Linked DNA regions of Astyanax mexicanus. The protein of the gene in region 2 interacts with the protein of the main gene of each other region in a pairwise test. Links are inferred from orthologs where the notes say so. Each region holds a gene or a part of one and is shown on either strand. Other genes may lie near its edges. The genes, in order: c5h22orf23, ccndbp1, mrpl15 and syf2.

Evidence for each region.
Region 1: the proteins of ccndbp1 (region 2) and c5h22orf23 interact in binary tests that used the Homo sapiens proteins (3 or more experiments, as listed by UniProt). The two-hybrid records come from large-scale screens. The link is inferred for Astyanax mexicanus from reciprocal best matches to the Homo sapiens genes CCNDBP1 and C22orf23.
Region 3: the proteins of ccndbp1 (region 2) and mrpl15 interact in binary tests that used the Homo sapiens proteins (3 or more experiments, as listed by UniProt). The two-hybrid records come from large-scale screens. The link is inferred for Astyanax mexicanus from reciprocal best matches to the Homo sapiens genes CCNDBP1 and MRPL15.
Region 4: the proteins of ccndbp1 (region 2) and syf2 interact in binary tests that used the Homo sapiens proteins (3 or more experiments, as listed by UniProt). The link is inferred for Astyanax mexicanus from reciprocal best matches to the Homo sapiens genes CCNDBP1 and SYF2.

What each region holds. Positions count from the first base shown.
Region 1 is NC_064412.1:31,270,754-31,278,391, reverse strand, and holds the start of c5h22orf23 (UPF0193 protein EVG1), read right to left. Parts: upstream 3,339-7,638; 5' UTR 3,257-3,338; exon of another isoform or gene 3,141-3,256; 5' UTR 3,102-3,140; coding exon 3,005-3,101; intron 2,426-3,004; coding exon 2,363-2,425; intron 1,399-2,362; coding exon 1,219-1,398; intron 722-1,218; coding exon 590-721; intron 341-589; coding exon 240-340; intron 1-239. Other genes in the region: ppp1r12c (protein phosphatase 1 regulatory subunit 12C), read right to left, coding at 6,057-6,143, 6,692-6,742.
Region 2 is NC_064412.1:55,153,621-55,161,683, forward strand, and holds the start of ccndbp1 (cyclin-D1-binding protein 1 homolog), read right to left. Parts: upstream 3,423-8,063; 5' UTR 3,357-3,422; coding exon 3,251-3,356; intron 2,353-3,250; coding exon 2,293-2,352; intron 2,192-2,292; coding exon 2,112-2,191; intron 1,710-2,111; coding exon 1,628-1,709; intron 1,173-1,627; coding exon 1,076-1,172; intron 886-1,075; coding exon 812-885; intron 639-811; coding exon 562-638; intron 449-561; coding exon 189-448; intron 1-188. UniProt on the Homo sapiens protein: May negatively regulate cell cycle progression. May act at least in part via inhibition of the cyclin-D1/CDK4 complex, thereby preventing phosphorylation of RB1 and blocking E2F-dependent transcription.
Region 3 is NC_064415.1:35,333,651-35,341,380, reverse strand, and holds the start of mrpl15 (39S ribosomal protein L15, mitochondrial), read right to left. Parts: upstream 3,205-7,730; 5' UTR 3,110-3,204; coding exon 3,005-3,109; intron 914-3,004; coding exon 756-913; intron 654-755; coding exon 488-653; intron 1-487. Other genes in the region: lypla1 (acyl-protein thioesterase 1), read left to right, coding at 6,974-7,042.
Region 4 is NC_064414.1:4,250,379-4,258,019, forward strand, and holds the start of syf2 (pre-mRNA-splicing factor syf2), read left to right. Parts: upstream 1-4,144; 5' UTR 4,145-4,234; coding exon 4,235-4,252; intron 4,253-5,484; coding exon 5,485-5,583; intron 5,584-6,790; coding exon 6,791-6,916; intron 6,917-7,641. UniProt on the Homo sapiens protein: Involved in pre-mRNA splicing as component of the spliceosome.

The DNA.
Region 1 (7,638 bases), about 24 Mb from region 2:
AAGTGCTGCTGTTTTTTTACTATTTTTAACATACGCACAGGTCAGGAAGAACGTTCACCCCCAATATCCTGTCTAAAAGACCTTCTCTTATACAGAGTGTTTCCATATTTTATGTGGAAATATAGATCACAGTACTGAACGATGTACGTTTTGCATTTAGCAAGTTTGTATGTAATGTTTCAATTTAAACTTTTTACTAAAATAAGCACTGATGTATGGTGTCTCTGCTGTGTTTTTACCTGAGAAATCTCAAAGTTAATGATGTGATTGTAGTCGCGCCCCCTTCCAAGAGCAGTCATTTCCTCCAGGAACTGCCTCCTCTCTTCAATCTCATCCAGAACTGAGAGAAAATGGATAGAATGTTTTGTCTGCATAAAGTGTAAGCTAATAAATTGCAAACTGCAGGTTGAACGTACTATATAGCAACATATCAGCGGGCTTTGCCGTCAGCAATAATTTTGGTTACTCTCATGAATTATTGACTGAATTATTGTAATTGATTACAATAATATTCAACAACAATAATTCTCGAAAAAAAAAATCTATTATAATTAAATGGTACGTTTAAGGATTTTAGAATTCATCTCACCCTCCTGGAACCTGTCTGTGTGAGTCTCCTCTGCTCTCTTGGGAGGCTGTGTTTGTGGGACAGAGAGCTGTGGCTCCTCCTGACCTGTTGCGAAGATATTCTGCAGTCTGCGCTTCTCCTTCTCAAGATCTCCTATTAGCCAGAAGATTGGGAGTAGTGTTATATCACTGCTTATCAGGTGTTATCGTTAACAAATGTACTGTTAAAGTTTAAAGGTCTTTGAGCAGAAACCTGGTACAGGGACTAAATTTAGCAAGTAAACTGATGTGGTACAAATCACCACAGATTGGCAGATGCAGAAAATAACACACCAAGAATAAATCTTTAATGTGTAAATGTAACAATGTATATATGAAAGAGATTTAAAATGCATTTAAATGTCTAGATGTTGTTAAAATATGGAAATGATTAAATAGGTAATCTGTTGAGTTTGGGCACATTTGGAGACACAGACTAAGTTGAGTGTAAACTGTGCGAGCAAGCTATTTATCAATCTCCCATTGCGCTTCTGTCCCCAGCACTTTGTGTAATGTGGTACTGTTACTAATTATCGATTACTCGATACTCGATTCTGTGTAAAGAGAGTCTAGTTATGAAAGCTGTAACAGTCAGGAATGTGGGATACAGACGTGCTGCACTGGGTTGGAATCTCTCTCGGGTGTAGTTGTCTCCAGCACTGCACTGCTCAGCACTGCGTCTCTGCGGCCTGACTGACAGAGCGCGACCCTTACTGAGACTGGGCTGAGGCTGAGCCTGCAGTGGTGGGGCAGAGGAGGTGGGGTTACAGCGCAGCGGTAAGGCTCCCCCTTCTGGTACACACACACACACACACACACACAACAAACAAAATTCAGCATTACAGACAGTGTTCTCAAGTCTCACGCTTTGAGCGTGTGTCACACGCACCTCAGCGAGTTCACACGCTCACACGCCACACATGGTACTTCTTACGCTTGCCAATCCATCGGCTGTATATTATGATGTACTCTCGTTGAGCCAATCAGAATATAGAATGCGTATTTTACTGCCAAAATACGGGACGATTCCGTATTTCACGGGACGGTTGGCAACCCTACTGACAACTTTTATCAAGATGCGAATATCCATTTGCAGCAGGACTTGGCACACTGTCAACACTGCCAAAAGTACCAATTGTTCATATATTCTAGTTTTCTGAGATTGGCTGTAAGGCAAGAGTGTAGTAGCATTAGTTTAGCTGAAAGAAACGTTATCAAGAAGGGAGGTATCCATGCGGCCGTGGAAGAAGAGTCGCAGGGGCGGGCTCGGCTCAGGGAGTTGATAACTTTTCTCGGTTGTGTAGCCACTCGAGTCTGACGTTAAGTGAAACTTAAGGGTTAACTTTACCTAGCACTAAGTGCAATACCTTTATAACTAAAGCTGTATCTCTGAAACATTTTGTTGTTTGAGTTTTAGAGCTGTAAAATTGACTGTGGGGGGAAGGCAGGTAGGCAGCTGCAGCGCTGTTAGCCAATCAGAGTTGATATATTTGCATGAATGAATATTCTTGTGCAAGAGCCAAAACCTGTCTTTCTTCAGAGACCACTAATTCAGTTAAATAAAACAGGGCTAAATAGAAACACCTGAGCACTTTTTTTTTTCACAAAAAACGGCACACATGGAATATTGCACATATCAGTCAAAATATTTTAGCATTCATTGTTCCTTGTAACCTATATCCTTCTTCCGAATAGCACTCATATTTTTTTAAATATGAGTGAAATTTCCGAACATTATTCACTTGAATAATCTTACTCTTGAGCTGGTTGTTGAGCTGACGCTGCTGGAAACTGGTGAGTCTTGATTCTCGCATCATTACTGTGGATCAGAAAACAAAAATTATAAGTAATAAATGCATTCATTCACACTGGAGACCACAACTAGACATTTTATAATGAATGAAAAAACAATGGAATGAGACCGCTTAAATATTGTTTCTTTAATTTTACCAAATTGAAATATAATCAAAGCCATCAATCCAAGCTGAACTGCTTAATTTTTTCCACCAGGAGTGGCATAAAGTTATCCAAAACCAGTGTGTAAGACTGGTGGAGGAGAACATGCCAAGATGCAGGAAACCTGTAATTAAAAACCAGGGTTATTCTACCCTGTTGAATAATATTAATATTGATTTCGGAACTCATAAAACTTTAGGAATGTAAACTTGTTTTCTTTGCTTTATTTAAAAACTGAAAGTTCTGCATTTTTTTTTTTTTGTTATTTTAGCCATTTCTCATTTTTTGTTGCAAATGAATGCTCTAAATGACAAAACTATTATTATAATTATTATTATCATTTGGAATTTGGGAGAAATGTTGTCCGTAGTTTATAGAATAAAACAACAATGTTCATGTGTCTTAATTTTTTCCAGCGCTGTATCTGGCTGTATTTACTCACACTGTAGGAGTTCTCTGGTGTCGTTGCTGTATTTCACTCTGGGACAGTTCCACAGACCCCCGCTGCTGCTGGACTCCGCCGCAGACCCTCCGTCCATCCTCAGAGTGAGTGAGGCCCGCAGCTCAAAACCTCAAACCTTTAAAAACTGATTCAATTAAACCCCGGACTCTCTCTGTCTATATATAATCTAATTACAGTATTTAAATGTTATAAAAAAATGTTAGCTGGTTGTTTAGGTAGCTGGTAGTTTACAGCTGCTGATTCACGCGCTGTTTTAGCACAACATCCAGTTCGGCTCAGTCTGCGAAGGGTCGATGTTGCCATGGGTTACCAGAAAACAGCGCGCTGTAATCTCACTCCTCACCAGCAGAGTGCGCTACTTTTTTCTCCCCAGTAATATATATATATATTTTAACTTTAATATATATATATATTTCTTCAGGGAAAAAATAAGAATTTAACAATGTTCTTCATGATTGTTACTTTGTGAACATAATGTTTTGCAGCAGGAATAAAAGTTTTCTTATTTTAGTTTTTTTTTTATTTTATGTAATTTTTTTAACTGTATTAGCAAATCACTGCTAGATTGTATTTAGCTGTGTTGTCATTAATCGAGCCCAAAAGACTGAAAGTAAAAAATATAAACAGAATATGAAAAAAAATAAAAATGGAAATAGTAAAAAAAAAACCCTGAAAAATAGAATAGAATAAGCCTGTTTTTTAAGCACAGTTTTCCTGCATCTCAGCATGTTCTCCTCCACCAGTCTTACACACTGCTTTTGGATAACTTTATGCCACTTCTGGTGCAAAAATTCGAGCAGTTCAGCTTGGTTTGATGAATTGTGATCATCCATCTTCCTCTTGATTATATTCCAGAGGTTTTCAACTTGGTAAAATCAAAGAAACTATATATATTGTTATACAGCGAAAAAAATAAAGAACTTAAGAATATTCTTCATGACTGTTACTCTGTAAATATAATGTTTTGCAGCAAGGATAAAGGTTTTCTCATGAAAAAAACATTTTCTTTCTAAATGTTGGAATTTTGTGCATTTTGTATATTGTTATCAATATTCAAGGACAAAAGTCTGAAAGTGGAAAAAAAAACAAGAAACTGTAAAAAAGTAAATAACCAGAAAAAATAAGACCTCAACCATTAAAACAAAATAGAAAGTAAAAACAAAAAAATATTTTAAACAAGTTTAATCAAAATTATATGAAAGCTAAAAACATCCTACACGTCTTTTTATTTTAAATATATTATTGTAGCTATCGTATCAACATTCAAGCTTTAAGACCTGAACGTTCTGTATTCATTATTGTTTTCAAATTACCACAACTTTTGTTCCTGATTTGGCTCTGTATGAGTTCACCACAACCATGACCAGATAAAGAAAGAATGAGATGAATTAAAAGAGGAGTCTGGGCAAAGCTCTGGTACTGAACTGTTTTATTTACTGAGATTTTATTGGTTGTCTCAAAAATGTCCATTCACAGAACGATGGCAGAGCCAGTTGGGGGAGGGGGTTGTAGGATGGTGGAGTGTTAGAAGAGTCTTGTTATAGCGCTATTGGGCCAGCCAGCCCAGTACTTTTCAACCAAGCAACATAGAAATATTAAAATAGATATGTAGAAAGGCACATATTTTTGTCAAAATACAATTTTGGCATGCATTGGCTTACAAATGAAAAACAATCAATAATATCGGAAGCGGAAAAAAAAAGGTGGTAAACTTTCAAAAGCTTTGACCTTATAAAGTGCCTGTTCCTTTGAGAGCAGGACTCACAGTATAAACGTTCCTGTTCATCTTCTTAAAAAAAAAAATTAAACACCACCATTGGCACAGGCCATGTAATACACTTACACTCATAAATACTCGCTCACTGAAAAACAGGAAAAACAGCAATAATGCAAATGCCTGTTTGGTCCAACATACAGTAGCAGTCTGCTCGAGTACAGTGTTGATCTAGGCTTGTCCTGAGAGAAAGGAAAAGAAAAAGAGAGAGAGAGAGAGACAGACACAGAGGAAAAAACATCCCTCGTTCGTCCCGGCGTGCCGCCAACCAGCAAGCTGGATGCACAGGAGTGGATGGAGGTTCAGGTTTTGGCACGTTTTTTTTCTTCTTCTGTGGTATCTAACAATACAAGCACTTCTTTAGGTCAAGCCCTCAAAGCTTAAAAACACCTGATGGGATGATGTGCTTTCTCTGCACTGTCAGAGCAAAAACTAGCTATTAAACAGCAAATAACCCACAGCTGGCTTACAAGCAAAGTAAAAAAAAGAGGAAATTGTTAACCTTGTACTGGCTTAGTTTTGTGTTAAACTACAAGGTTAAAGTTAAAAATAATAATAATAATAATAAACCAAGCACAGTGCACGAAAAAGAATTAATCTGATTTAAATATACAGAACAAAAAACTAAACAAAACAAAAAAAAGCACCCTGCAAGTTCCTCTACATACCGCCGTACTTCAAGTATGTACTTCACTCCTTAAAATTAGCCCAACTAGACTTGACGTCTATGATCCTGTGCTAGCTTGAGGTTTGAGAAGTACAGCAGAGCTGGGTCAAGAGTTAAAGTTCGCTAAACTACATGCAGCTAGAATTCGCACAAAGCACGGAAAGATCTAGAACTGTTCTACTAGAACTGCAGCTTTGCAGGTCCTAGACTTGAGAAAACTACACCCTAAGGAGTTTCAAATGTCCTAACAATTGTGCACAATGAGGTGAAGCTCGTTGAACCCTGGTTATGCTGAATCTAGCTTTTGTTGTTTGGGCTTCACCGATAAAATGTGCAACAGCAGTTTATAAAGGTCAGACTCCTGACCAGATCCACACAAGCACGCACGCACGCATACACACACATACCCACACACGCACACGCACGCACGCACGCATACACACACATACACGCACAGGTGCTGTGTGTTATGGCTGTGCAGAAAAGAGAAATGCATTGTTCCAGTTTATTCTGGGCAGAGATGGGCAGAGAGGGACAGTGGTGCCACCTAGTGGTTTCAGGGCAATGGTGGCACACAGGGATACAGGGGCTCATCTTGACAGCTTGCTGATGACGCGAATGAGCGCAGCATTCTCGTCTTTCAGCCTCTGGTTGTCAGCGCGCAGATCGACAAGAATCTGTGGAGAAGGAGAGAAAGAGTGAGGAGAAGGAGGAGGAGTGAGACATGTGCTATGGCCTGCTATGGATTAAGCTTTAAAGGGCGGGACTGTAGAATAGTATTGTGTAATCTGTGCTTAAATTGATTATAAAGTGTTAACTCAAGGGCATTCTCAGTGGCTTGAGAATGCTCACATCTGTTTTAAGGTGTTATCTTGTGACTAAGGCTGAACACTGTCCAGTGTGCTCAAGACAAAGTAAAATGAATTATTGCAGTTGGAGTGAGGGCTAATAGTAAGTGCTTGATGGATGGGAAGTTCTAATTTTTTAATCTTTAGCTTCCCTATGACACAATACTAGCTCCTGTCCCATTTCTTTTGGCATGTCTGTGTATTTCACATAATAATACACTGAATTTCGACACCTGCCTTGTGATATGTGTTGTGCGGCTATTGATAAAAAACAGAAACCATATGTCAGCTAATAGATCTGATCAGACCATCACTTTAAGCACAGCTATAAAGAACAGCTGGGTGTGAAGATAATTAGATTTCTAAACACAGATTACCTTCAGCTCATCCTCGAGCTCTGATGCTTTCCTCTGAAGTGCTTTCTTCTCCTGTGGCACACAAAAAGACATGATCAAGCATGATTCAGACCTGTATTACTCTAGTTAACAACCTGAGCATGAGCATAATGTGAACAAACACTTTCTTTTGCCATATCAATTAATGTCGGTGCACCTCAGGACTGTGTGAGTTCTGCTTTACTTTTCACTCTATACACAGGCGATTACTGCTTAACTTTAAAATATGTTCTAAAATACTAAGGTGACACTGTTTTGCTAACATAATTAACTTACTTGGACAGCCCGGATTTTCTAATCTTTTGGAGCAACTCCAGCAGATGGAGCAGTTACTCCTACTGTTTTTTACTGCTGTTATTCTGAGTGTTCTGCAGTACTGTAATGCTGTGTGGTACAGCTGCTTGTCCACATCTGTAAAGTCTGGACACTTCAAAATGCTGTGTTCCATGTTTTAATTATGTAAGACTGAAGCAGGCCTTTATACATCAGTCAATCCTTAAACTGAACATGGAGCCTAATCCAAAATGATCAAGGGTGTTATAATGCAAATTAAATATTTATGTTTTTTTTGGTCTGTGTTGTGCTGGTAATGCACTGTGTCCTAACGGAGCTGCTATTTTTATGCAAGACCAATTTCAGTCTGTGGATCTGAAAATAAAGTGTCAATCTGTCTATTACCTCAGCCACTGTCATGTTATTTCTCTGATTTTCATCTTGTGGATTTATTGGCCCAAGTTGTCATTATTATTTGAACTGGTTACTGGTTATCCTGTTCCTGGGCTCTCAGTGGGCTGAATGACAGACTGCATCAGTAAAAGGCTGAATGATTTTTTTGCCAGAGGGCGTGAGAGACAGAGAGCATGTTTGAGATACGATAGCTGACAGCTGAGTGAGGCTGGTTCAAACCGCATAGGAAGCACAAAGAAAAG
Region 2 (8,063 bases):
CATCCCTCTATGTGTGTGTTGTGAGTGCTTATTAATGCTTTAAAGTATTTACAACTTAATTTATAACCATTAATAAACTTCTTTATAAACTATTTATAAACCCTTTATAAAGGAGTCTTATTTTAAAGTGGTACCCAAAAAGAAGTAATCCCACAATAGATAATTCATGTTTTTAAAAAAAAACGTACCCTGGGCTGATTTCTCTCGTGATATCAGCGAGGTCGTCTAGTTGAGTAACGCTGTGAGGTGTGTCGACTTTTCCATTTTTATTAACAGCGCTGGATAATTTCCGCAGACATGCTCCAGAAGCCTTAATGAGACCCAGACATTTAGAAATGAGCTGCCGGTCACTCTGGGACCAGTAGGTGTCTTGGTTTCCACGGGCATCAAGGTCATCTTCATCATCATCCAGGACATCATTGAAAGGGTCCTGTTCCTCAGATAGTGCCTACAGGAAGAACACAAAGGATGGGAATAGTTTTTAGACGTATAGTTATTAGATTTAGAGTCTACAGGACTCTGCACTTTGCACGAATGCTCTACCAGAAATTGGCTACCCACCTGGTTCATCTCCTCTAGCGCATCCTTCACCATTCCAACATATGAACTCAATACATGTAACACTGCAGTGCGATTATCTGTTGGGAAAACGGACAAGGAAATTCTACATACAGATTTCTAAGTTAAGAATTTAATGAAATTAAAGGTCATACACACAATTGTTCAGAAAGCAAACACCTGAAGGTAAAAAAACAGTGTTTAAATTTATTTTCAAGGCATTAATAAAAGCCATTAACGTAGCCCAACTTACCCCTTGGCAGCTGAGCAAACTGATCACATGCTGCCCAGACACCTCCTGTAGATGTTAGCTGTTCCTGAGATAAACTAGAACAAACAAATAAGCAAATAAGTAAATATATCAAGTTATTTTATTATGTAAATTAAATACGGTGAAAATTCTAAGTAGGATTCATTAAGATCATTATCTAAATGTAATGTAATGTAATACAACAACAATTATTATCAGAGATGAACAATAAGATGTATTGCCTTGAAATTAGACCATTTTAAATACCTCTGTAAAGGAGAAGACAGGAGGATCTCCAGCAGCTGAACAACACCATCCAAAACTTCCACAGTGGCTTCTCTGACAAGCTTACGCAGAGTAATGCCTGTATAAAACCAAATTCCATATATACATATTTGGACCATGATGCAATTTCTGCAGTTTTGTGTCTAAGTGTAACCTCAATGGATTTAAGGGTTTAAAGCTTTGATTCAAAGGGTTTAACAAAAATATTGCATTTGCTGTTTAGGAAAGGTCTTGAGTTGATTATTGAGTTAAGTGTTGAATTTCTATTTTGTAGTTAGAATTCAAAGCCTAGAGAAAACCCACTGCTAGAGGTCACAGGTAATACTGAATTATTCACTTACTCAATTATTCCTCTAAGGTACCGGTATGTGTCTTGAATACAAATCACACAGTTAAAATGCCACGATTTCTTGGTTAACAGGCAATAATAAAACATAACTTAAATATCTGATTTTATCATGTTTGCCTTGAAATCTATGTAGAATGTTGTGTTTAGTTAGACAGGAAAATTAGTGATTAGAATGAGCAACTTACCTTCACTCTTAGGCAGCCAGTAATAAATTGTAGATAACGCCAGAATGCTCTTCTGAATGGACTCTGCTAACACTTCACAATCCTTGAATGAGACCAGAGAGTCATTGTTATTCAAAATATATAATAGAGGGTTTTTACTGTATTTTAATATCACAGGGCAGTTTTGATGCTTTTTAAATAATAATATTTTAATGTAACTGAGTTTGACTGGGATGTTTGACTGGGATGTTCTAAGTTATGCTAACCTAAGTTTTTATTGCCCATTACTTAACTTTTTTAAGGCAACCGGTTTCCTCAATTTTTTTGAAGTAAATTCAACTTATCCGTGCTTACAGTGTATATTTTATGTATGTATTGATCTGAATCTATTTTGTTTTTTGCATTTGTGAATAGATTCAGAATCATCCACATCTAAATCAAGATGCATATAAGAATCTAAAAATTTGCCACCCCTATAGCACATGGTGGCAATAGCCTGACGTACTTGCTCTGATGGAAGTGGGGGTTTGGAGAAGGCTAGACTGAGTTTTGTAGCTTCTTGTGAAGTAGCCTTTACTGTCTGAGCTGTGGAGTAGAGAAAAACACATATTTCAGTTGGATTATTCCTTAGACAAGCCACAAACCAAAATATATTTTTAGTAAATGTGAACATGAGGACACTCAACTCATCGTTTCCCAGAAGTTTGGTAAGTTAAAGTCCCCGTTAGACTCATTTGATTCTCCATCTGAAAACAAAACAACAAAAGAACTATTAGCTAACATCTAATAGCACTACATCAGTGATACACAGTACTAACAACACATTAATCAGTGAATTGATAGCAAGTGCATTTGTTTCAATCCCAAATACTAAGATTTCACATTTTAACAAAATCTGTTGCTTGCTATACTGTTTAGTCAAGGATTTTGTCTAGTTAGGACTCTAAGAACAGTAAAGACACATGGAAAGGCAGTATTGAATAGACTGGATGAATAGACAAGAATGATAATATTTGGAATTCAGAAATGTGAGGAACAAGTTAAGTTACTTAAAACAGTGGTGAATGATATGAAGTAATGTAGAGGCAATTGTTTCTATAAATTACTTAAGTTTGTCAATTACTAAGAGTATTGCTACTGAATGGTTTGTGTAACGTTACTTATTCCACTATCGCTGTCACATACTGTGACTTTCCCAGTGCTTCTAAGTCCTTATCATGTCAAAACATGCTGTGATACCAGCCCAACTCAGTAAACATAGCCAGTTAGCTACGTAGCTAGATACAGAGTGTTATTCCCAGATGGCTAGTGCTAACTTAGCTAGCTAGCTAGCTAACTAACAGTCTTAAGATAACACGTTTAAATATCCAGTATAGCTAGGTTAGTTATAGTTAACTTTAATGGTTTGGCCGTTATACAGTCTCTTCTACCAACACGATTAATTTACACTAACTTGACAACTTTAGCGTTAGCTAATTTAGCTAAACTGGCTAACCAAGCTGCGTTAGGGTAAGTTATTTCTGACAGCTGAAGGGATAGTTAGCTAGCGTTAGCTACGCTAAGCTAGCTGTTTCCCAGGGCTGTTTACATTACTTTTAGCACACCAGTAATCAGATATATTAACGGAAACTCCGCCGCTCTTACCTCTTACCCGATCTCTAATACATTTTACTGCGTTTAATAAGTTCCGTAGCGGCAGTAAAGAATCTCCACACGAGTTTTCAGCGCTCATAACTGCAGCTGAATCCATGCAGGTAAACTACAGGCGGAACTAAAACACTGGCTACTTCCGGTTAGTTTCCGTCGGAATGTGTTCATGAGGGGCTCCTGTATGTATTTGAATACTGCCTACTCCTGTATGTATTTAAAATTATATATTAAAAATTATTGCAGAATAACTTAACATATATAAAAATGTAGGCCATAAGTTATGTGAATCACCTGCAATAATATATGTGAATAATATATAATATATATAATTTATTTATAAATTTGAAAATGTATGAATCCTATTTTTTGTTTATCTGAAAATTATTTTGGATTTGTATTATGTACAGCACATTTCACCAACTAAAAAATCCCAAAACATAAAAAAGATTAAAATTTAGAATTAAGCCATTAAATACAAAACTTTTAAGCTCTATATAATTCTTCTCAGATTCCGTGAATGTTTACAGCCCATAATATTACATAATTCATTATACATTATACATAATAAAAAAAGTTTGGACACATCTTACTTGTAGTGGTATTTCATTATTTAAAAATTCTGCATTGTATATTAATACTAAAGAAAAACAAAACAAAATATGTTTTATGTTTTAGATTCTTTAAAGTAGACACTTGCTTGGAATGAGAAAAGTGCTCAAACTTTTCACTGGTACTGTACAATTAATGTACGTTTTAAAGAACGTGACAGTTTTTAAATAAATTATCCATTTTGTTAGGTGAACACAAATCAAGATCCTGAACAGACATGTCTCCCTCATCACAGAAAGCTTCAAAATCATTGAACATGAGTAAATTTATATAAAACTTCTTCTTTTGCAGCCATGCTTTCTCAATGTCTTGAAAAAAAATTCTAAATGTCCCTGGAAAATATCTGGTTTAGATGCATTCATTTTCTGCATTAAAGCCACTGGCACCTGTAATGTTCCAGTAGTATTGTACTGCACCATTTACTCATAAATAGAGATATATAATACATTAAATCAATTTAATCAATGTAGGAGAAGTAAGCCAGTAAACCAGAGTCCAGGGGCTCAAACAATGGTCAAAGATGTTTCACCAGTCTTCAGTTCAAACACATTGTAACAGCGAACTTTGTCACACCCCCTGGAACAGACTGAACCTTCCGACAGCCCCCTCCCATTCACTCTGTCAACAACACCACAAAGAGACTGCGTGACAAGAAGAATAATACCAAGACTTACACTACAGAACACACAACACAGTACTGTACCAACCTTAACACAGACCTCAACATCCAGTTCCAGATAACTGAGATAAGGGATTATCAGCTCATTTTTGGATTGAAAATGACTAATAACGATTCTTTCCCCATGTTTAACAGTTCTGTAAAAGGAGACTTTACATAATGGTAGATAACACCATTATCTAATGTCCAATAAACATTGCTCACTTGCTCCACCAGAACTGTGCAGTGTGTCTTTGCTATCGTAACAACAGGAAAAGTATGCCAAAAGGCATGTGCTAATTTTCTTAATTATTCAGGTGTGTGTTTTGGGTGTAACGTGAAATAATCCATTCACCATGTCACTTCCATTCCCTTTAAGAGCCAGGTGTGCTCTGTCTTTGGTGGATAACTATTTTAATGGCGTAGGGCTTCTGAACTTCTCAGCAGATGAAGCTGATCTGCTTGTTCATTCTGTGAAGGTGCTCAGGTAATTTACGGGAACAGCAATGTTTAGTTTTTTTTAGGTAAAATTTGGGTTTGTGCACTACTGCGTGTGTTGTGTGTATGCGCAACGTCCCTGCAATGCCAAGATAGCAATGAACGTCTGACAGTTAGTTGACTGTTGTCAGGGTTCAACTCAGTCAGTGGCGCACCTGTGTTTTCCATATCTAAGAAATATACCTAAACCCACCTCAATTCTACCTGACTTGCTATTTAAATGGCACAGGGGCAAGGCGTGAAAATAGAATACACTAATTTGGTACAAAAGCAGAAGGCATACAAATCTTTGAGGAGCAAAGATGGGCAGAAGATGTTCAGTTTGTCACAAATGTGTGAGAATTATTGAAATGTTTATAAACATTGTATAAACAAGTAGCTGATATCATGGTCAAATGCAGGCAATTCTGTGTTGTATCTTCATTTTATTTTATTTTTTAAGATTTTAATCAGTAAGAAAAAGGGAAAAAAGTTTCATAATGCTACTTATGCCAGAACAAAGGCTTAAATCCACACAGACTGTTTGTGGACAAATAATGGAACACTGAGGTAAAAGATAACAGATTTTATCTGTATTATGTAGCCTTGGTTGTCTGTGCAAAGATGGCTGTTGCTCAGCCGATAGAGCAGAACTAAGTAATTGTTTAAACCAAGAAGTTTATGATGTGATTTGCAAATTGGCCATTTGTTCCTCCCACCGGATCTATTTTTTAAAACCGAGCTCTCAAAGTTCTTTTAGACAAATAACCTCTATATAGATAAACAACCCCCAGGCTCAATGGTTTGAGCTCTACGTGACAATAACAACCCTGTGAAAGAGGTTATCAGGTCTGATGCTGTCAATGTTTAAAGCCCTTGTCTCTACAAAGCTGTGAATGGACGTCAATGGGCAATATAGTTTCTGAGCATATGAATGTATTCTATATAGAATATTAGAGCCCTTCCTTCCTTCTTTCCTTTATACTACACTATATCTATTTTTTTAAAAATAGAAAACTTTTATATATTAAAAAACTAAATTTTGCTTATATAGACTTATTACTACCTCACCTGGTCTTTTTTGCACACTGCAAAATTTGCACACTGTCTTGTTATTTATTATTCTTTGTCTGTATTGTGTTGTATTGTCTGTCTGCACTTTTGTACTGTTGCACTATTGTTCTGTCTACACTGTGTTTATGTGCACCATGGTCCTTGGAGGAACGTTGTTTCGTTTCACTGTGTACTCTGTATATAGCTGAAATGACAATAAAAACCACTTTGACTTTGACTTTGACTTTGACTTGTTTATTCAAATAAAAAAATAAAATAACTTACAATAGAAATAGAAATAACTAAACAATGAACTAAATAATAATTCAATAAATAAGATAACAGACTCATTTGTACAATAATCTTTTTCTTGTTTTAAGTTTTACTTGTGTGTTTTGTTTATGCCTCATTCAAGCTAATCTGTTGGCAGGTTGCACGTTTAGCTAATCTATAATGATCTGTTGTGAACTCTGCTGGTTAAAGCACTACTATAGCGAGTAATTAATGAGGTAATAATCAATGTCCTCTTTTCTTAATGGGTAAACATGAGTATTTTGCATCAGCAAACCTTTGAAATGTGTGGTAAAGGTTATTAGGGCTAGGGTGAACTACACCATTTTAACCGAATTAATAATTCCTACAGGAAAGTCCATCAGGCTTTTAAAAATTAATAGGAATGTGCTCTTCTACAGCGTGTGCATGTGCTCTTCTACAGCGTTCCTAATCAGTGGTGGTGATAAGATGTCCCCAAGGGTTTGTAATGTTTTCAAAAACAAACTCATTCAAAGTTGCTAAATGATTGTTTTTCAGCTGTTTTGAGATGTTACATTTTAAAGTTTTAGATTTTAACCTTTTTCAATATTGCATTTAAAAACAAGATCTAAACTTCATGACAGGATTATGCAAAAATCAGGCATTTAACTGATTTCTATGACCATAAAACTCTACAATAACCAGTGCTGTTATCTCTGGATCTCTCTGTACTCTGTTTTAGTGACTTTAGTTTTTATCAATGGGTCGTTTATCAGGTGGAACAGACAGTATACTGTGCAGAACCTTTTGAATAGACAAACATTACACACGTTCTGTAGTTTTAGCTCTGTATTCCCTGCACCATACATTTTTTAAGGAACCAAAGGCCAAAATGTTAGTATTTTATGTGTAAATCACCACTAATAAACATGGGGGCTCTGCGTGATTTAGCAGACTAAGGCAGTGACAGTACGATCAGGAGATTGTACTGGTTCAAATCCTGGTCCTGGAACTTGCCATCAGCTGCCGGAGCCCCGAGAGAGCACAATTGTCATCACTGATGGAAGGACAAATCCAGAATTATATTATATATTATAGCAAATTATGGCAAATTCTGAAAGTGCAATGTCAAGACATCTATCCATGAGCTGAATCTCAAGAGAACGTGGATCATGCAGCATGACAATGGGCCACAAAAGCCACAAAAGTTGTTCAACCAAAGAATTGTTTAAGAAGAATAAAGTTAATATTGACCTCTTGCATGGTCACGTCTACTATATTGTACTGTGTTCCTACTCCTGAGGGTGTTCAGTGACTTGGACATTTTTTAATCTATCTCCTGATTGAATTTTGCAATAATCTTGCATGGAGTTTACTTTTGTCTTCATGAATTTTAATCAGGAATACTGATTAACCTGTGACTGGACCTACCAGACAGGAGACTTTATTCTACAATCACCTATCTTTTACACATTTACTGCACTGATGTACTTTTTTCACTCTGAATAAAATATTCACTAAAATAATTTCATGCTCCTGTGCTGAATTAGAATAATCAGGCAAAAACATATGCAGCATGCCCTTTTTAAGCACTTTTCACTTATTCTGGTACAGACGTATCTGTCTGGTATGTACCGTCTGTCTGCACACATAACCATAACCCTACTAACCTGTAACCAGCCTTTCTGTTTTATGGTTTATCAGTAGATGGAGCATTCTCTACCTATGTGGCTTATGTTTGTGGTGTATTCTTTTCCT
Region 3 (7,730 bases), on a different chromosome or scaffold from region 2:
ATTAAAGCCAAATCAAAATGCCTACCTGTTTCAGAGCCTAAAAACAATATTTCCAGAATGAGTGATTTTTGTTTTATAACAGACTGAACCCAGAAGTACCTGAATAGTAGTAGCTGAGAAATATAATAAAACCTGGTCATAAACCACACCAAAATCAAGAAAACCCAAATCAATGTATATTTTGAACCACATACACTCTATGGACAAAAGTTTTGATACACCTGCTTACTATTTGCTTGTTTTAATATCAGTGTTATTATTAGCTCATCTCAAATATACTGGATGGAGAACCATTATACCAGAGATTTCATACACAAGTAGATTTATAATAAATGATTCTAGAGAGGCTTATTCTCTTGCCAATATTTCTTTACAGTGTGTAGACAAGTTGTGTTGTCTAAACAAATGATACTAACAAATGAACAAACCATCATCTGGTGAAATGATGATTTCCTGAAAGTAAAATATACTGTGAATGTGAACATACCTCATCTACAAGCTGAACACCGTAGTCTCGTTTGAGAGGCTGGATTGTGATCCCTCTACTATTAACCAGCTGGGTGAGGTCTATAGGCTGAGACGGGTCTATCCGGCCTAAATCTATCAAATACTGCAACCTCCGCAGAGACAGTGGAGGGTACTGTTGCCGCAGGCTAAAGAAAAAACACACCGAGAAAAATATAATAATGGTTAAGATAGTGTAAATTTCTTTTATTAAGGAAAAACAGGTAAAACCGCAAATGTTTTTATTTTACCTGTGTCCCTCATTGTAGCCATATTTAGGAATGATCAGGTAAAATGGGGTCTGTCCCCCTTCAAAGCCCAGACGTGGACGGTTCCCACGCTGTCGTTCACCTTTGTGTCCTCGTCCACTCTTATTCCCACCATGCATACCACGACCCCGGCGCTTCTCCTGTTAACACACATGGTAGATATATGAGCCACGGCCACAGACATGGTGAATCTATCATCTGCAATGCTTCAGTATGTAAGAAAACAGACAGAACAGGATGGCACAAATTTGATATGGGTTGGTTTCAATAGGATTATTCTATTCTGTCAATTATGCTATGCCAGGATAATAGTTGCTTACTAAATATAGTAATGGAAACAATATATTTAAGGCATTTTTTTTTTATTTACTTGAAAGAAACAAAAACTATAAAATCACAAATGCAAATATTAAACATTACATGTATGTTTAAACAATGTTGCCTACCAGCGTTTAAGCTTTTATAAATGGATATTTAAATGTAAATAAAAGAATCAGTGTTAGATTGGACAAATTTAATTATATTCATGTTAGTACGTATTGTATTAATATTGTAATAATTTGAGTTACTGAGTTTAACTGAGAGCTTTAATGGAGAAAATATCAGCCAGTGTAGCATCATAGTGTGTGTCTATGTTTTTGTGTGTGTGTATGTGTGTGTTAGGAATCTGAATCAGAATCTTTTCCACTCGATTCCAATCCTTTGAAAATTACGAGATCGGCCAAGATTTCCAATCACATAATCGGATCGGGACATCCCTAAAATAAACACAATCATGACCACGATTATAACATATTATTAAGGTCATGTCCATGTATTGTATGATAAGTTAATAATGTAATTATTGTGACAGGCGTAGTGTTTATTTGAGTTCTTGATATAGTCTCTCTGATTAATCAAACATTCACTGCTTGATATTTCCACTAGTGGTTTTGGTTTTAATGTAGAAGTAAATAAAAAAAATGCAATAGATTTATTTTAATGCATTAAGTTTACACTATTATATTTATTAAGAAATTATTATCCTAGTCCAATATAAGATTTTCACAAACACATTTTTGTGATAAAATGGTATGTTTTGATCGTTTCAATAATAATAAAAAATAAATATATATATAAAAATAAGCTAAAAAAAAAAAAAAAAAGAAACCAAAACAACTTGCATGGGTTCTTTTTTTTCTTCACTGCCAAAGTATCGGTAGATACTTAAACTCACTCAGAGGGAAAAATTGTGATTGAAATATTCCTAATATTGAGTTGTCGTACAATAAATGGACATGACCTCAATAACGTGATATTGTCTAATGTGTTTATTTGTATGTTTGTTCACTATACATCTCTGGAAAAAAATTAAGAGACGATTTCAGTTTCTGAATTAGTTTCTCTGATTTTGCTCAAACAAAATAAAAAATATTGTCATTCAGAGCATTTATTTGCAGAAAATGAGAAATGGAGTTTCTACAGTTTTCATGCATCTTGGCATGTTCTCCTCCACCAGTCTTACACACTGCTTTTGGATAACTTTATGCCACTACTGGTGCAAAAATTCAAGCAGTTCAGCTTGGTTTGATGGCTTGTGATCATCCATCTTCCTCTTGGTTATAATATTCCAGAGTGTTTCAATTTGGTAAAATCCAGAGCTGCATAACAGCAAGAAAGTATATATTCCCCAAACTATGATAAATTAAAATTAAGTTGACTTTAAAGGGGTATAATCGCTTTGTTATGCTATTCTATTCTCAGTATTGCAGTGGTATTTAATATTCTTAAAATGACAATAATATGGTTTATACCAATAATTTCTGGGAAGGCATATCGTCTACAAAAAAAATCTTATCATGACAGGCCTAAAAATCACAAATGCGTTTCAGGTGAAATGTACAGTGAAAAACTAGTTTTCCCAACTGGATTACCAGTACAGAGCTCTTTTACTGCATGACCAGCTTCTCAGCCACCTTGACCATTAAAGACCAGGTTTGGCCTCTAATCATCTAAAGGTTGCCAGATTTCAGCAGGGATGAAGAGAATATCAGTATGGAAAGAATACTGTAACACTGTAGATATATCTAAACCTGGACCTACAGCTAATAAACAGAATATCTGTACAACACTGAGCTGGACTGGCTGAGATGCTAACTTAGAAGCTAATATAATGTCAGCTAGCCTAGTTAGCTTAGCTTAGCTTAGCTAGCTAACATTACAGAGAGCTCCAGCACAACACCAGCACTTACATTCTTCCTCGCTCCAGGATTGGGTCTAAGATTGGCTAGTGTTATCCGCGGTAAACTCTTCACTATATCCAGAGTTTTTCCTCCTCCAGTCCTGGATACAGACATTTTTCTGACCCACTCACACACTCTCACACAGTCTCACACACACATCTATGCACCCGTCAACTTTCAAGGGCGAGTGTCATGGCGGAGAAGCACGTGGTTCAGCCCGAGAGGAGAAATCCCACTTCTGGGTCTGTTTGTTTGGTAGATGGACCACTAGAGGGCGCGCTCAAATGAGTCCAAAACGAATGGGATTAAAATGATTAACTGAACAAATCAGAGATTTAAAAATGTTGAATACATTGTATAATGTAAATTGGACTCGTTTCCTGAAATTAAAACATTATAACATGTTTCAGTACCAAATACAGAATTTGGAAAGCTTTTCAACTCTGGTTAGGAGAAGACAGCAACACTGGTAACTAACTTTTTTATTTATGAAGATCTGTTGGGCAAACTCCCATCATATTGGTGTAGTCGCCTCTCAACTACAAGGTTATGGAAGTAAAACAGTCTAACTAGCGTTTTAAATGTAATCGAATTTGAATTTATTACACTCTGAGACTTCCATACAAGGTGCAGAACCTCTTTCTCCTGTTTTGCACCATGGTCTTGGAATAACCTTCAAAACAAATTGGCTTCCTTGAGTGGGTTTAAACTTTGGTAAAGAATTATGTGATGGAAACATGCAATTTCTACTCATAAGTGCATTCTGTTTTGTACTGTTTTTCTTTGTGGTTATATTAAAGTTTTTTTTATTTATTTAAACACGTTGTTTTAACTTTCTTTACCTGTAAATGGTGTGCTGTCTTGCCCAGGTCTCCCTCAAAAAAAAGAGATTTTAATCTGATGGGACCTCTTGGTTAAATAAAGGTTAAATAAATAATTAAATAAACTCTAGCTCCAGCAATCCTCGCTGCAAAACCCTTTTATTGTATAAAAAGGGCAAACACGTGTAGGTGTCTTTGGATATTTTAGCTAAATACTTTATTAAACTTTAATAAAAGGAATACATTTCCTACACAAACAGGTAGTTAGTTTTTTTAATTCGTATTTTTAGCCGTTTAGCACCATTGACCCACATTCATTCAGGACTCAGTCGATTGCTCCCTCTAGCGTTTTTCACTCATATCATCTCCATAAACCAGTTCTCCTTTAGCGCCAATAAAAAAACATTTAAGCAGAAAAGCTGTAAAACTATAAAAAGTACAAATATATGTATATGCATATATTTATTACGCCACCGTGTAATTAAAATATAAATAACGTTACATGGAGTCGGTCAAAAGAATCAGTGATTGTTGCCAGCTGTCTATGAATACGAATTGCTGAGTGCTGTTTGAAAAATTACAAATGGGTGAATATTTTTTACCCGGTAATTTCTGGCAAAATACATGATTTATGCGTTTTTTGCAAAAGATTTATGAGCCATTATAAAAAAGAAATTATCCTCATGGAGATGCCGGGGATTGAACCCGGGGCCTCATACATGCAAAGCATGCGCTCTACCACTGAGCTACATCCCCATATAGACTTAGAGCGCGGATTCTCGCCTCTTTAACATGAGACACCCGTTTATTTTGCTTTCTTCAATTCTGTTTAGAATTTAAACACAAACTTTATATAATCCTGGTCAACACAACATTTTAAATGCATTTTTTTATTTAAATGAAATTGGTCCATGAATCTTAACACGGCTTCTAATGAGTGTATTTTACAGGGCTCTTAATGCTGACACTTTTTCATTCGTGTTAGCTAGGTTAGTTTAACTAATGTAAACTAACGTTACAATATATCAAGTCTGATAATCATCACAAGAGAGTGGTAATAGAAACTGCATGTAATTACAGGATTTATACTCTGTTGAGATATTCATTAGCATAACAATAAAAGCTGAAAAAGAAATAAGATCAAATGTTACAACTACAAATACAACATTTTGTTTTCACTTTTTGCAAAATACTAAGCAATTATTGTCTACAAAATCAAGATGCTATTGTAAATGCATTCAAGTGCCTTTTACTTATGTATATTTATTGTTTTTCACTGTACAAAAATTAACACACATTTTTTATGTTTAGGACAATTCATTAAAATGCTTTGGTTTTGAAAAGATATATATATATTTTGTTTTGTTTTATTTGTATCTTTATTTAACGAAGTACATTGTACAAAAGGGATTGTATCGGTCATTTTGATCATAAGTGGAACACAGTTCAAGAGTATAAATTGCTCTTTAAATAAGTTATATAGTTAGATTGCAAGATTAAGATTAAAAACAAAGAATATAGGAGTTATTTATTTGTAATGTCTATATAATTTTGCTATTCACATTTTAATACATAAAAAAATCTGAATAAAAATAACTATTTTCTGAAACTATTTTCTTAACAATAAATATATTCCTTTAAGAGATTATCAATGGTTTCATCACATTGCTGACAAAATAAGGAGTCTGAGTTAGTTCTAGAGATAAAACTCATTGATTTATGCTTTTTTTCTACAGTTCTGTTCCAATTATTACAATAATAAAAAAATCTTATTTAAATGTTTTATGATCCAGCTGTGTTGATCTGATGTCTAGATTTAAAATATATTTAATTGTAAAATATGAATTATGAAATTTTTATATTGTCATTTGTGTTACATCAGGATTTTAGCTTTAAAGTATTTACAGCCATGTGCCCACGATAAGAAAAAAAAAACATGAATGATATTGTGGCGTGGAAGAGGAAGGAAGACCCGTGAGACTCATGCTGAATGCTCAACAGCTCCTTTATTGAACAGGCTTACCACTCACTTACAGTTTTTAACAAGACTAGGAGAGCTAAGACCATTCCCCCACAGAGCTCAAACAGCCCAAAGGCCACCAACCCAGCTGTGTGTCTCCCAGATGGCAGATCCAGAGTGGTGCCCACCCTCTCTGCATAACCCCTCCCAAGGGAGATGCCCCACCCCTGTCATCCTCGCACACAGGAGAACAGAAACATGCCTACAGGCAGCCACACACACACAACCCAGAGCCGCCACAATATCCTCACTGAACAGAAATCAGCCAGAAATGTGTATGGGTTCAGAGTTAACAGAGACTTCCACTGTTTAATTTGAAAAAAAAAAAAAAAAAAAAAATCTAATGTTCTAAACCTCTTTCCAGTGTCAGTGTTGTCAGTTTGCTATTCCACAAGCTTAAACAAGCTGCAACATATTCTTTAAATTTATCTATGGAGGACAGATGTTACTTTATTGTTTATAAAACTCGCTAATAAAAAGCCACTGATCAATAAATTAAGTGGAAGAGTCTAAAGAAGCTGGAGAATAAGATGTTCCCTGTGGGTTTCACTGAAATAATGTTAGCAGGTTAATTGTTTGACACCATCCTCCAATGCTGCACTACTGTAGCTAAATTCCTCAACACCGCAGGCAAACACGTGCAGCTCATGAGCCAATCAGGACGAACGCATGGAAAATAACTGCAAATGCACCAATCAGGACACGGTTCGATAAAACTGAGGGGCAGGGGGCGGGACTTCCTGTGTAAATGTTCGTGTGGTGGGTGGTTCGGGTGCTGCAGTAGAGCTGATCCAGGGTCAGTTATCTGTAGCGCTGGTTAACTGTGAGCTGAGATACGGGCTGATCTGAGACCCGCGGGCTGTGTAGGAGCAGGACACGAGCGGAGGGTCACGGTGCGGCTCTCTAGCGTGTTTTCAGCTCCGCGGACACGGAGAGACGGTCAGTCCGGACACGCAGCGCTAGATAACCGCCGGACTCGTTTATATTTACACTGATTTAATTATATAATAGAAACACAGTTCGCGGGTGTTTCTACAGCTCGGTCTCGTGCTGTCAGGCTGGAGGCTGGGGTCGGCGGCCCGCGGGCTGAGTCGGGGTGTGATTTCTCGTGTTGAATGTAACGCTCCGGTCCGGTGTATGTGCGGTAATAACATGTCAGCGCCGCTGCCCGCGATAGTCCCAGCAGCCCGGAAAGCCACTGCGGCGGTAAGTCAGCGTAAAGGAACCCGGCTGTGTATTTATAACACCTGTCCTCAGGGCCCTAAACACACTAGAGCTACTGTGACTCTAGTACACTTGTGTCAGGTGCTCATTCATTCTTCTTCATGTTTATTCGGTATGTGAGGAGCTGTAGTAGACTGACACTCTAAAAACACCTGGGTCTAAAAATATTTGGGTCTCAAAACATGTAAAACATCTGGATCATAAAAAAAGATTTGGGTCTAAAAACATCTAGCGTTAGGTCTAAAAACATTTTGGTTCTAAAAACATCTGGATCTAAAAATGTATGTGTCTAAGAATAATTGGGTCCAAAAACATCTGTGTTTAAAAACATGTTGGTTTAAAAATATTTGGGACTAAAACATCTGGGTCTCAAAAGATGTAAAACATCAGGATCTTAAAAAGATTTGTGTCTAAAAATAAGTGGGTCTAAAAACATTTGGGTCTAAAAATATTTTTGTCTTAAAATAATTGGGTCTAAAAATATTTGGGTCTAAAAACATTTGTGTTTAAAAAAAATCTGGGTCTAAAAATATTTGTGTTTAAAAATATTTGGGTCTAAAACCATCTAGTGTTAAGTCTAAAAACATTTGGCATATCTGTGTATATAAACGTGGATCTAAAAACATCTGGGACAAAAAACACCTGTGTCTAAAAACGTGTGTCTAAAAGT
Region 4 (7,641 bases), on a different chromosome or scaffold from region 2:
CAGTGAGGAAGCACAGACTCGGCGTCTACAACAAAGTGGACAGCGTGGAAGTATAAGAAAGACATTTTAAAGGAGTGGTCAGTGAGAGGAACTGCATATATGATACTGTAGTTGTTTCTAATAAAGTGGCCAGAGAGAAAGCACAAGGATGGTGTTTCCAGTAAAGTGGCTAGTGAGTAGACAAACCAAGGTAGGTGTTTCTAATAAAGTGGCCAGTGAGTGGAATTACAGGGAAGGGGATTTAAAAAGAGGACCGTTTTTTTTCAGATAAAAGTGGTCAAGGAGGAATCACATGGTAGGTGTTTCTAATAAAGTGGCCATTGAGTGTATAAAATAAAGTAGATATTTCTAATAAAGTGGCTAGTAACTGAAGGTGTTTCTAATAAAGTGGCCAGTAAGTGAAAATAACATGGTAGAGGTTTCTAAAAACTGGACAATGAGTGGAAACATAAGGACATAGGTGTTTCTAATAAAGTGGCCAGAGAGAATGCACAAGGATGGTGTTTCCAGTAAAGTGGCCAGTGAGTAGACAAACCAGGGTAGGTGTTTCTAATGGCCAGTATCTATGTGTATTAATATTATATGTGTATTTCTAATAAACTGGCCAGTGCGTAGAAAAAACAAGGAAGGTGTTTTTTTAAATAAAGTTACAAGGTTTCAAAAAAGCGGACAGTTTTTGGAAAAACAAGTTCAGGATATTTATTAAAAGTGTACAAAATAAAGTAGATATTTCTAATAAAGTGGCCAGTGAGAAAAAAAAAAACAAGGTAGAGGTTTCTAAAAAAACTGGCCAATGAGTGGAAGCATATGGAGGTAGGTGTTTCTAATAAAGTGGCCAGTGAGTGTAAACACTAGGTAGGTGTTATACTTCCAGTCACTGGCCACTTTATTAGAAACATCTGCCATGTACTTTGATGTATAGTCTATGTCTAAAACTGTATCTCTGTTTTCCATACAACACTCTTTGGGGTAATTGAATTACGGTTCTCTTTCATCCAGAAAGACTGAGGCCACACACACACACACACACACACACACAAAACATAAATTGCCCCCATACTGCATGTACAGTGTTTGCATAATATCCATACTAGACTACTACTAGACCTTCCATAAAGGATGCCAGTACTGTAAAAAAAAAAAAGCAAAGTAATGTGCTGGTTAGCATTTATGCTAATCCTTTTAGACATATTTCCATTGTGATTTTCCTGCCACCCAGCATTATAGTGCACTCAGGAAGTAGCTCGTACAGCTGCCCAACATCTGCTAGCGCACAAACATCGCCGCCAATAAAATCATTCCATTTCCTTAATTACTATTTCTGTAATTTCCGCAGCCAATGAGCGAGGCCTTATTAATGCCTGGCCAAATCAAACACGACCCCCGGACTCCGCTAGCTGCAGCGCCAGGAGCCAGCCGGTGCCAACGCACGCCCCAGCAGCAGGGAAATCCACCAGCAGACGCACACTGCTGTTCACCACTCGTACAGCCTCCGTGTAGCACCCTTTCATGCTTTCGTTCACGCCCATTTAACAAAATGAACTGCTACTGAGATTGGCTCGATTACCTCCACCCAGATTAACCCCACTTCCATTACCAATAGATCTGAGGCCTTCAACATACAGTATCTGTTCGCACATGTTCTTCCCAGTAGTGTTAACTTTACTCCACTTTTATTATGTAACAAAAAATACACAATACAAAAGTATGTAAACATACCACATTTACTCCCATAGCAAATCTCCATCTGCCTTCCCTGAACACAGCAATGACAGCACTTCAAATTATGAATAATATTGAGTTTAGGTTTACGAGAAAGTCCTACCTTGTGTTTCCTCACTGGCCACTTTATTAGAAACACGTGGCATGTGTTTCCAATCACTGGGCACTTTATTAGAAAATCTTCGGAGAATCTTTGGCTTCAGCCACTAGCAAGTAAATGGAACTTCATAATGTAGAAAAAAAATGACAAAAAAAAGTGAAATAGAGAGCTGTCACACACTGGCACCAAAGGCACACCTTTTCCTCCTATACCTTTGTCTACCAGTGATCTCTCAGCTTTGGACATCGCCCCTTAACTCCCTTATACTCAATCACCTGAGTATCGATTTCACCTGTTCACCTCTCTATATGGACCCCTGCACTTCACTTACTCCCTGCCAAGTACTAGATCTGGTTCTGTCTGACTATACAAATCATTTGTCTTGCCCGTGTATTGTTTATTCCATGTTTGATCCATTTTTTTGGTGTGTGTTATCCACTATGATTTTTGAATACTGCCTACTCTTTATCGGCCCCGAATGTCTCGCCATTCTTAGTATGTTATCTGCCTTTCGTGTTTGCTTTCTGTTTTACTACAGTTGTGGATAGTCTTTATTAATTAAATCCGTGCTTATCTCATACCTGCCTGGTCTTGTAAGTTATACTGATTGTTTAGCTTGCACTCTATAAATACTGTACTTAAAATTGTACGCTCTTAAAAAATAAACTAGCGAATGCTTTTGGCAATAGAGTTGACCCCTCTGGTATCACGTACAAAATCAAGTCAAGTCAAGTGGGTGGATTAAATGTACTGTATCTACCTCACTCTTTCCTTGTGTACAGTGATGCAAAAGCCTGAGCTGATGGGGGTCTGGATCCGCTGTGTTCAGCTTTGTGTTGTCGTGCTACAGCAGTGACGCTTCCATCTGGCGTACAGTCAGAGTGCATCAGTCCATTAGCAGTGCCTCTGATCTGGAGATTGCTTTAATCTAATGCTGTAAACTCTACTTAATTACATCCTCCAAAACAGCGCTCTTAATTATAACAACAATAATCCTGCAGGAAAAGCGGCCGTGTTAGAACAGGACTGCATGCTAGCGCTAGCAAAGCACCGGAGCGAAGACGAGGGCCTCACTTTTGAAGTTCATGACTGGGTTCATCCTTTCCGCTTAGCCATTAACTGAAGTTAATATACTGTCAAATCCAGCGTTCATCATGCTTCATCACGTGGGTGTGGGATCAGATCTTCTGGAAGTGATTGTAGTGTTATTTTAGAAACATTAATTATGAACTTTTTAAAATCTAGCTTATTGTGTAGGTATAACCAGACATGTACACAGCAAAATCGACTATTTAAGAGTTGAATTTAACACTGTCCTAGATAACATATGGTCCCACTCATTATAGTGTTAAAATAACCACCACAAGAGTCAATTTTTTTAGTTAATTCAAAACCGTCATGTCATACATTCAACGCCGAGTCATATTTTTAACATATTTAATTATTATCAGTGTTAACACATTTTACCCCACAGAATAAAACAACTCTCAAATTGTTATTATTTTTGTTTAAGTTCGTTAAATTTAATTATGTATTTTTTCTAAACTTCACCCAAAATTATACACCTCTAGTATCTATGAAGCATTATAAAATGTGAGCTATACCACAGAATAAATTACTTCTTTAACCTATCTAAGCTGTATGTAGAACCACCACAACTAAATCCCATTTAACTACTTACACGTATAACACACACACACACACACACACACACACACAGTTTATCACTGAGGGCTTTTAGAAAAACTCCCAGAGATTTAGAACATATTTACACTGTGATTTTAACACTGTGGATTTTACTTTGTATGTAATGTATTATTAAATGAATAATAAAAAAAAAAATATATATATATATATATATATATATATATATATATATATATATATATATATACAAAAATACATATAAATATACACAAGTTTGATTAAGGTAGAGGTAGAGGTTTCTAATAAAGTGGCCAGTGAATGTAAACACTGCCACTTTATTAGAAACATCAGCCTTGTACTCAGATGAGTGTAAGTTTGATTACAAATTATGAATAAATAATTCTATATGTAAGAATATAAAACTACTACTTTATGCACTACATTATGTAATATTCATAAATAATGGAAGGGATTTGTATAATTAAATGTACTTTTTTGTACTATTTAAACTATTTTGTTACATGCTGAATTTGTGAAAATAAAAATATTGAAGTACTACCTTAATTACTATTTATGTATTTATTACATTTATACGCTTGTAGATTAAATGTATATGAATACTATGTTAATCATCACAATCAGTGATGGTTTGGAGAGCCACGTTACCTGCTGCTGCTGCTGGTAGGAACTGTAGTTTCCTCGGGCAGGTTTCTCCACGGCGCTCTGTGCGGCGGACCGAGCTCTCTGCTTACGAGTGTTGTGATCATGGCGTCTGGCACAGAGGTAAAAACATCCTAATAAAATCATTAGAACGCGGTGATTTATAGTGTTTTATAGCTATTTTACTTCATCTGTGTGTTCTTAACCTGGTGTAGAGCTGATTAACGGTGAGAGAAGTCGTTTTAAAGGTTAAAAGCGTGTTTTCCTGGATAACGGACAGACCGCTAACAGCTAGCTTAGCTTAGCTTAGCTAGTGAACGTAAGATATGAGTTAAACTCAGACTCGTAACTGTTATACAATGTTTAAATTAAAACGAACTTATATCCGAACGTTTTATTTAAGGTTACTTAACGTGTTGTTTTAAACTTCCCACTGTTCATTTAACTAATATTTCTTTACTTTAACGTTCCCACCGGGCCTTTAGCCTTGGAAAACCTAGTTTAGGAAAATAGTAACGTTAAGTAACTTAGTTAACTTAGTAGTAGTTAGTTAGTAGTAAGTTTCTAGCTAGCTAGTTAACTAAAGCAACATTGGACAGAGCGGTTTTAGTCATTTTTAACATTAACGTTACATTTATTGTGTTTCTACAGAGCTCTTTAAGTGAAATGTTTAAACAAAAAAAAAACACGGTGTATGGTCACGACTTATTAAGGCGTGGAAACGAGATCCTAATGCTTGGTCACAACTTATTAATGCGTATGAATGAGATAATTATGTAATTGCCAGATAGTAATAAAGCTTGATTTTCTGTACATTAATGCCCATAAAGAAGATTAAATATTACATCAAAACACCAATCCAAGGATTATCTTTTGTATGAAAACGGAAAGTGAATTGCTGCTGCTCCAGCTCAGCCAATCAGCTCTCTCTCCTGCCCTGCCTCTAAACACATACATCACCCAGTGCCCCATCCAAACTACCCCTTTTTCAAATTTGAGCTGAGGGTGGATTCAGCAAAAAATAGGGGGTTTAGTACCCTTTAAAAAATAACTATAACTGTAACCAATATAGCTATTGCATGCACACGTATCTTTTAAAAAGTTTTGAATTTGATTTATATAAATCCATTTTGCCTGCTGTGTTTAGCCATTGAAATGAACTTTATAATGTTTTTGCAGTGATGTTGTAGAAACCTTTTATGTGAAACAGAGCATCGGAGCTGTGTTATAAGAGTATTGATATGCAGTGATATAACAGTTTTTTTTTTTTTTTTTTATATATAAGCACCAGCTCATATGTATTGTGCGTCTGCCACAGACTCTAATTCATCAGTCTCATTAATTCTTTCTTAAAGGTGTCCACGCCAGTCATTGATGGTGAGCCAGTTGAGACTGCGGCATCCCAGAAGAGAGAGGAAAGGCTGAGAAAGTTCAGAGAGCTTCATTTTAAAAGGGTAAGCATTTCATCGCCATTATAGTCAATACAAGACTTATATTTACTGTGTGTGCTGGGCACAGATGGGATTTGGCCTCCGCTTTAAACCCACCTATCCAGTGAACACAAGCATACACACTAGTGAGCACACTAGAGCTAGTCCATAATTCCCAGGGTGCCTGGGGCCCTAAAGCAAAATTCTGATTAGGGGCCCACTGACCTGAGCAGTTGCAGCTTGCCAAACCTGGGTATGAAACACAATCTTGTCATATGCTGGTGTTGATCCACTGTGTTTTATTATCAAGTCCAAAGTCAGTGTCGTTTTGTTTTTCCACAAAATCTTACAGCACTTCATGCTTCTTTCTGCTGACAATGTTTATGGAGATGCAGATTTCATTTTCCAGCAGGACTTGGCACACTGCCCACACTGTCAAAAGTACCAATTGGTCTTGTATAAAATTCTAGTTTTCTGAGACATTAATTTAAGTTTTTTTTTTTTTTTCATTAGTTGTTATCATAATCATCAACAATAAAAAGTGTTGGTAATTATATGGCTAAACTAAGCTTGGAGCAGAATAGGGATCGGGTCAGCATTTGGCTCAACAGCATGAATCCAGCAGCCCAGGCTGGTGGAGGTGGTGCAGTGGTGTGGGGCATGTGTTTGACCTCTTTTGCGCCTGTTTGTACCAATAAATCCTCAGTTAATCATGTGCATCTTCTCACAACCACAATTTAACCACCTTGTAAAGTCTGCTTCAACTATGATAATGCGCCGCACACCAAAGTAAATGTCATTTCAGTTGGTTTTATGAACATGACAATAAGTTCAGAGTTTTTTTATTGATCTTTTTACTCACCAAAACTGCATCTAATAGATGTGGTAGATCCAGTGATTCGGAGCGTAAAATTGCTTTGGAACAATCAGCAGTAATTGTGAGACAAAATCATGCCAACATGGACCAGTGTGTCTTTTTAGCAGGAAATGGGTCGCATACTCCTGCTTTATCTTCTATTAACTGTACATTCTAGACACCTTTTGAATGTGGGGGAACATGGAGATTCACAGCATGAAAGTGCAGTCTGGGTCTTGGGTTTCATCCATTTAGATTGCATATTAGCAGATAGAGACATTAAACAAATGTTGTGTTTTACAAAGTGAGAATATATATATTTTTTGACATGTTTTTAATTGTTATTATGTGTGTTTATGTGTCTTCCTGAAATAGAATGAGGCTCGTAAGCTGAATCACCAGGAGGTAGTGGAGGAAGACAAGAGGCTGAAGCTTCCCTCAAACTGGGAGTCAAAGAAGGCCAGACTCGAGTATGAGCTCATGGTGGACCAGAAGAAGAAGGTAGGTTTATGAAGACTGTTTGCCAAAATCGTTCCAAACCTTTTTACAGTTAAAGGTTTCCTTATGGCAAGTATGCTTGAAAAATAGTTGTATTTATTTAATGGTGTACCAAGTATTCTGTGCTTGGTACTAGGTATGTACCATATTGTATTGTACGCCATAATATCGCTGACATTTTTGAATATGGTGAACAATGTTATATCCTGAAATATTGTGCCATATCACCCAACCCTAATTATCACATCATTTCACATTTTATTTTACTGTTTTAGCAAAAGCAATACACTGTTCTCATTTCCTTTTATATATCTACTAGATACAGATTATTTATGTCCAGTATCATTTATTTTACATTAATTCTGGATATGTAGAGATATTTGGAAAACAGTATTGCCAAGAGTATCAGTATTGCAAAAATACCATGAAATATCGTGATATTATTTTAGGGCCATATCGCCCACCCCTACTTGGTACACCCACTGCAGGCGTAAACATAAACATACCTCAGACATTTGACTTGTGTTGTACATTTGAGTTAAAATAAGATGTAAATGTAGCGTTTTGCGACAGGGGACTTCTGATTGGGCAAATAATGAGTTCAGAGATCTTCAGAGAAATAAAATCAGTGCATCCCTGTTAATAAGGATTCAGACTAGTTTGGTGAGAACATACTTGGATTTCTTCACTGAGCTGGGAATAGGAATCAAAGTTAAGACGTCATTAGT